Neurospora crassa OR74A: one gene and its partner. The protein of the gene in region 2 purifies or fractionates together with the protein of the main gene of each other region. This does not show direct contact. Links are inferred from orthologs where the notes say so. Each region holds a gene or a part of one and is shown on either strand. Other genes may lie near its edges.

Region 1 (3,600 bases), about 2.1 Mb from region 2:
GGCAGAGGTGGAGGTAAAGCCGAAGGAAGAGAGCGTGGAGGATGTGATGAAGGCTGCGTTGGAGGCTGGGGATTTGGACTTTGATGAGGAGTTGACGCTGGGCAATAGCAGCAGTCAAGCGACGGTTGATGAGGAAGAGGTGGAGAGGTTGAGGAAGATGTCGAGAAGTCACTGAGCCGGCTCTCAAGCTGCTGGTCGAGTGCTGAACAAGAAAGGAAAGATGTCGACGATGCACCTATACCCCGAGACCGACTTGGCTACTTTTAGACGTTGGTAGATGAACCTTGTATAATCCTCAGAACAACCTGACTGGGCTCTGCAGAAGCCATCTAGTCTATGCTCCAGGTCAGTACAGTTTTCGCGTACAGTTTAGTTCAGAAAGAATCTGTCACGGCTGTTCTTGGCCTCGTCCCTGCAGATATCACAAAAATATCCTGTACAGTATTCACATTCCATTTTATCTATCCTGGGTATATCATAACAACCAAGTTCTGCTGCTTCCCTTCTCTTCATCAACAACCCCCTCTTTCCCGACCATTTTTCTTCCTCTACTCGGCATTCACACCCCTCCCCTTATTAATCTGCACCTTCTTATCCTCACCACCGCTGAAGATGCCCAGCTGATCCCACACCACGCTGAACACCTTGCACCCGTCGCCCGTCACACTGCTCTTCTTCTTCTTGCCCTGCTGGCTCTCGCGATCAATAACGTACACGGGCTCGCTGACGCTGCCCATGCCGCCCTCGTCCTTGGTCGCTGGCCGGACCGACCGCAAATCCCAGATCCGGCACGTCCCGTCGTGCGAGCCCGAAACCAGTGAGTACTCGTTCTCCGGGTTCGCCGCCAGACTGACCACCTTGTTGGCATGCCCACGCAGCGTCATGACGCTCGTCGCGGCCGTGCTGGTGCGCGGGTCGACGAGGGTAATGTGTCGGGCGGAGGTGCCGCAGGCGAGAAGGGGCGCCGAGGCCGAGGAGCGCGGCAGGGCAGCGAGAGAGAGGAGCGCATGCGAGGTTGTGAAGGTGCTGACCACGCTGGAGGTGGTCAGGTCGATGGTCTTGACGGTATGGTCCTGCGACACAGAGTAGGCAACGGTGCGGTCGCGGGGGTCGAAGACGGCGGCCGTGGCGGGCGCATTGTGGATGTTCATAAGGGCGAGCGGGCCGCGCTGGGCGGCGGTGACGGAGGTCGCGAGCTTGCGGCGCTTGGATGTGTGGGCGCCGGGAAGGAGCGAGGAATCGGAGACTTCGGGCGCGGACGCCTTGGAGGTGGTCCAGAAACCGATGGAACCGTCGGCGGAGGCAGTGAGGATGCGCTTCGAGGCGCCGTCAACCTCGAGCGAGTCGATCGAGGAGGTGTGGCCGTACAGTTCGAGAGTGGGCTTCAGCTCGCCGCGACGCTCGTACGACTCGCCCGACTCGGTGTACTTCCATACGCGAACTGTGCGGTCCATGCCGGCCGAGGCAATCTGAGTGCTGGAGAGGAATTTGGCAGCTTTTATGCTGGCAGTGTGACCACCGTGGCTGCCCGAGGGCGAGGTGCCAATCACATTTCCAGAGGCGTCCCATATCCTGAGGAGACCGTCGTACGAGGCGGAGAGGATGCGATCTTGGCCGCGCTGAAAGTTGTCGCCGGACCAGCGGCCCGCGGGAGAAGTAGCGGAAAGAACATCGACGGCGCTGACCCAGTCGTCGTGCTCAAAGCTGGCCTCGTATGTTGGTGGGATCAAACTGCGAACGTACTGAAGGGTGATGTTGGTTTCGAGCGAGAGGCCGTTGGCGTTGAGGTACTCTTCAAGACTGCCGCGGAGGAAGCTGCCGTTAACAAGGAAGTCGAAGGGGATCGAGTTGGTGTCGAGCATGGACTCGGAGTTGAGAATACGGGAGAGGCCATAACGGCGGATGTCGGCGGGGACAAGGAGCTGGCGCTTGCTCTCATCGAGCTGGATGTCCTCCTCCTGGGTGGTGAAGGTCACCCGGACCTGGGCGCCTGATTCGGTAGGGTGGTCCATGGCGGTGCCTGTGCTGTGATATTATGTGAATTGGGTAGTCGCTGTTCGGTATGGGCAGGCTGAATACTATCAATTGACAAGTAAAAGTCAGATTGGCTTAGATTACCGTGAAACAGGCGTCGTCGGGAGGAGAGTGTGGATGTTTACTTTGCAGCGGACACCACAAGGCCATGCCAAATCCAAGACTCCATCCAATTTTTTCTGTCCAGCCTTGCAGCGCAGGGGTCTGGAGTGTTCTAGCTACCCCACGTTCCCCTATCTTATCGGAACTTTATAGCGGGGCCGACGGTTCCTGTGAGGGTCACAGTGCTGAAGCGCCGCTACTATGTAAACTATACTAGTATAGAGTAGTACCGGTCATGTACCTGGCTTAATTGAACCCACTGGAGCTACGCGTCTCGAAATTGTCAAGCGCGTCGTCGAGTTTCGTCCCTTGAAGTCAGTTTCCGAGTCGGGCAGCACATGAATAAGTCACCAATTGCTTTTGTCGTTCTCACATCTTGAGCCATTGTCAGTATCAATCATACGATGGTCACCTTGGACGAAGTTCTCGGTAGCGGTTTGCTACAGAAGCCCTCGTGAGTAGCAGTGGATCATCCATCTTCCACTGGCGATCATCAGCTAACAACCCAACTTCACGAAGAGGCGATGCGCCCGAGGCTCTCCAGCGCCAGATCACCAACTACAAGCCCCTTCATACCTTCAAACTCGAAAAAACCCGTCCCTATCAACAACAATATGCCGATATTTACTTTTTGCGTCTTACAAAGATCAGGCCCGCCGTCGAGGCAGCCGCCAGCGCCGCTTGGGAGGGAACAGTGCTTGGTGGTGAGAAGGTCAAGAGGGTCGAGCGTGTCCTAGACGTTCGCCAGGGAGAACTATGCTGGGTAGCTGGAACAGTATATATGGACATGCCTCTAAAGCCCTCAATCCTCGAGGATGTCTCCAAGGATGTGAGTTTCAGCCTATCCTTTGGTGGACACCAGGCAGCTGACAATGATGTTATAGCGCTGGATCTCCGCTCCCACCTCGGTCGGCCACTACTACTCCGGCAACGGCGAAGACTCGGTAATGCTCGAAGACGACTCCGGCCGCATCCGTCTTGTCGGCAACGCTCTGCAAAACCACTTCATGGTGACCGGCTGCATCGTCGCGGTAATGGGCACCGAGAACGCCAACGGCGAATTCGAAGTCATCGACCTCCTCTTCGCCGAACTACCACCACAGCCCGAGCGCTGGTCGCTCTCAAAAGGCAAAAAGGAAGCAGACTCCTCCGAAGACGTCGAAATGATGGACGCCTCTTTCTCCAGGCAGTCCCACAAGCCCTCCTCTAAAAAGATTGCCCTCGTCTCCGGCCTCGAGTTCTCCAACGCCGACACCTCCTACGCCATGGAACTCAACCTGCTTCTCGAGTATCTCCTCGGCGAAGCGCTCGATCCCTCCGTCCAACGCGACGAGCTCTCACACATCACCCGCCTCATCATAGCGGGGAACTCCATCTCCACGACGGCGGCCGAACAGGCCAAACCCGCGGCTGCCTTCGACACCACCACCGTAACAAACAAGTTCCAACCACAAATCAAAAAAT
Region 2 (3,432 bases):
CCGCGGCGCCACGCCCTCGACCGATTTATCTGCTGATCCATACAACCGCGGCGTGACGCCGAGCTACCTGGGAAGCCAAACCAGTCGGTACGGCGCTAGCTCGGTGGCGCCGTCCGAGAACCCGTTCAGACAGGATAACCCGTTTGACAACGATAACGATTATCAATCCTCCGTCGGCGGCGGCAGCAGGTACGCGCCGCCTAGTGTGCATGATGGGGACTACGAGGATGAGCCATCGGCAAGGTTTCCCACTGCGCCCTACGGCCGAGTAGGAATCGAACGGGGGAATGTGTAAGAATGGGATTAAAAAAAACAGAAGGGTCGAGAATTCAAGTCAAGGGATATGGATGAGCTGGACTGATCGACTTTGGATCTGGAAGCGGATGCAATACCGGGTAGCTATACGCTGCAGCATGCTTAGGTCATGTACAAAGTGTCTTGGCTACCTGCTTTCTTTTTTTTTGTTATTGGGGGCTGGCTGGCACTAGACGAAACATTTTGGGCTTTTTCTTGTGTATGTATGTGTGTAGGCTTTGTTTTATGGGGTGTCGTTGGCGAGGCGTCACAGGTCCTTGTTGGTTTATCATGCATAGAAACGAGAGAGATATCTTCGTGCATCAACAATGAATCACAAAGCTCTCATATCGGCTTCATGGAATGCTTTGTATCTGTGTCATTCTTATTAAACTCTCCCATATTTGTGGAGATCTACGTAGAACATGATTCTAGGTGACAAACAAGATATGATACGATATATGTGGATGGCTCAATGGCCCTAATTCTTTTCATGTACTTTGAGAAACGCCTAAAACGCCCGTGGCCTTAATGAATAGTATGTATGCTGCACAAGAAATCCTGGTTCCCGTCCCATCATCCGTTTTGCTTTTGCTCATTACCGTTGAGCAAGGGAGCGCGAGCCGAAGTAGCTCCGTCACCTGTTTCTTTGCCAGTTCCCCATTCCACGAGAGGGTCGCCCCCTGAAGCGAAGTATGATGAGGCGACAGCGGGGAGAGTCTAACTGGCATTATACCAGTCTGAGAGAGAAAGAGAGACAAAGAGAGAAAGACAAAATCCGTTGCTCTCTTCTTTCGAGACCTGTCGAGCAGAGCCATCTCGGCTGAAGGATCAGCCGTGTTGGGTCGCTCTTTCTCCCTCCCGCCGACTCTCGTAGCCCAGCTTACAGGACGAGACTGGACATGGGTCCGGGCATTTGTCGCCAGGCTCCCTCATCTCTACCCTTATCTTCAGACCACAAACCGAGCTCACCGGTGATCCCAAGAACATCCCCTTGCAAGAAGCAGTCACATTCCAGTGATGATGAAGTTCACATCACACTCGCGCATGCAATTTGCCCCCTTCTTCCCCTCCCTCGTTTCTTCGTCCGCTTCTTTACTGCAACAAGCCAGCCTTCCTCAACCGCTTGGTAATGTCGCCCTTGGTCTGCTGCATCGGGTTTAACTTGATGTCGCGCACCATGGCAGCTACATCGTCGCCGTGCTTAGCCACTAGTCGCTGCAGCCATTCTAGCTCGCGCTCGCTCTGGTAGCGCACCGTCTTCTCCACAGGGCGCGACGCCTCCTCCTCGAGCATCCGGACCACCTCGGGCCGGCTGCTCTGGGCAATCATCTCCTGGCGGTCGTCGCTGATGCCGTGCCATTCGATATCATGGGTTGGGTTCTTGGGCTTGGGTTCCTCGGATTCGGAGTCGGACTCGATCTCGTTGAGCGGGTCGTTGAGCGGGTTGTCCGAGCGCAGGACCTTGACGATCTTGCCCGAGGCGTCACGCTCGACCTTGACCTCGCGGACCTCGAACAGGCCGCGATCGGCCGACTTGACGGCCAAAGGATCATCCTTGGTGATGCCGGCGTAGTTGGCGGCGGCGGACTTCTTGGCCATGCCGCCGGCGGCGGTGCCGAGCTTGGCGACGAGACCGAAGCGGGAGTAGTTTTGTGAGAGGGTCTCCTTCTTGTTCCTGTAGTACATCAATTTTTGCATGTCAGTACTGAATCTCCTCTCGAATATCTGGCAACAAAAAGAAGAGAAAGGTACTTACCAGGCCTTGGCAACGATGCCGCTGCCCTGGGGGTTCAAGACCTTCTTCTTGATGGTATGCGTCTGGACCTTGGCGCGAGACGAGCGCTTCTTGCGCTTCTGAAGTTCTCTGCCCATTGTTGCTGTGGTTTTCGGGAAGTAGGTACTATGTGGTGTTGCTGAAAGGACAGGAGTTCGACTGCCAAAAGATGCTGGGAAGAAGAAGGCGAAATGGGAGTAAACCAGCAAAGAACGATGACGGCGACAACAACAACGAAGGCGGAAGTTGACCAAAATTTCGGGGGAAACCACCCCAGAGAACTCGATTGAACTGGAACTGCAATGGCTCCTGTCCGATAAGAGAATTATAGTGGGGCTGTTGTCCCTTATCGACCTTACAGGTTGTTCGTTACTTGGCAAGCTTGGGTACGTTCCCTCAGTCCAGTCGCCAGCTGGCAAGAGGGCCGTAATAAAGATACAGTCCCTACTGCGTAAGTGTGTACCTAGGTAGTGTAAGTGGTGTATTGTATGTAAGCACGTACATAAATACCGCTTCCTCAGGTTCCGTTTCTAATCCTCTTGTATCTTGCTTGCCTTTATTGCCGTCACCAGTTCGTTCATCAACAATCCTTCTCCCAAGGGTGATGATGGCAACTTACCTAACGACTATTTCCTCGGAATTGGACCCTAACTTTCACGGCCATCATAGCCGCGGCTTCTTGTTCTGCTCGCAACTGGTGAGGCGCCAGCGGCCGCGCCAGTCACCACCTCACCATTGTCACCATGATCATTACCCATTGGAGATATGAACAGACTTGTAATCATTGCTAAATAACTAGCTACGCACTTTGCAAGTTTTCCGGTAGGGCAACTTGATTCCCGTCTCATCCCATCCCCAAAACACCCTCCATGGCCCCCGCCACTATCCATTCGACGCAGGCACGCGGGTCATGCCTGAAATTTCATTTCTTTTTTATTCAAATCCAACCCGCCTTCAAATGTCAGCCTTGTACTTCCAAAGACATTCGGTAGTATGCGACCTAACTGTTGACATGTTCATTTCAAGTGCCTCGGTCATCATCACCCTGCTACATGCCGGCCAATGCCCATCAGAGCCCGGAAGAACACTGCGCAGAATGGGAAGCCGTTCGACATACATAGGTGTACTGTAGTGGCCAGCCAATTGTCTTTCATGGTGTTCTAGACGTTTGCCTATACAAGTACCTAGACAGCGACCGAGGTCTTGCTTTTTCTTCCCCAACTCCTCTCTCTTCAAACGCCCAGCCCATAGTTCGCAGCAGAACTCAACATCTTACCCACCTCCCCCTCCTTCTTCAACCCCATCCAACCTCAATGCAACATGGAGATATTCAGAACTTGATGAGGGGGGCCATGCTTGGG

The links.
Region 1: the proteins of NCU09528 (region 2) and NCU03764 purify together in Saccharomyces cerevisiae (affinity purification with mass spectrometry; 3 studies listed by BioGRID). This does not show direct contact. The link is inferred for Neurospora crassa OR74A from reciprocal best matches to the Saccharomyces cerevisiae genes NOP16 and YTM1.

What each region holds. Positions count from the first base shown.
Region 1 is NC_026505.1:2,340,042-2,343,641, reverse strand, and holds NCU03764 (microtubule associated protein), read right to left. Parts: upstream 2,207-3,600; 5' UTR 2,013-2,206; coding exon 549-2,012; 3' UTR 434-548; downstream 1-433. Other genes in the region: NCU03765 (3'-5' exonuclease/helicase), read left to right, coding at 1-175; NCU03763 (DNA polymerase delta subunit 2), read left to right, coding at 2,541-2,590, 2,656-2,965, 3,021-3,600. UniProt on the Saccharomyces cerevisiae protein: Component of the NOP7 complex, which is required for maturation of the 25S and 5.8S ribosomal RNAs and formation of the 60S ribosome.
Region 2 is NC_026505.1:4,474,382-4,477,813, forward strand, and holds NCU09528 (nucleolar protein 16), read right to left. Parts: upstream 2,339-3,432; 5' UTR 2,170-2,338; coding exon 2,054-2,169; intron 1,973-2,053; coding exon 1,390-1,972; 3' UTR 644-1,389; downstream 1-643. Other genes in the region: NCU09527 (hypothetical protein), read left to right, coding at 1-295. UniProt on the Saccharomyces cerevisiae protein: Involved in the biogenesis of the 60S ribosomal subunit.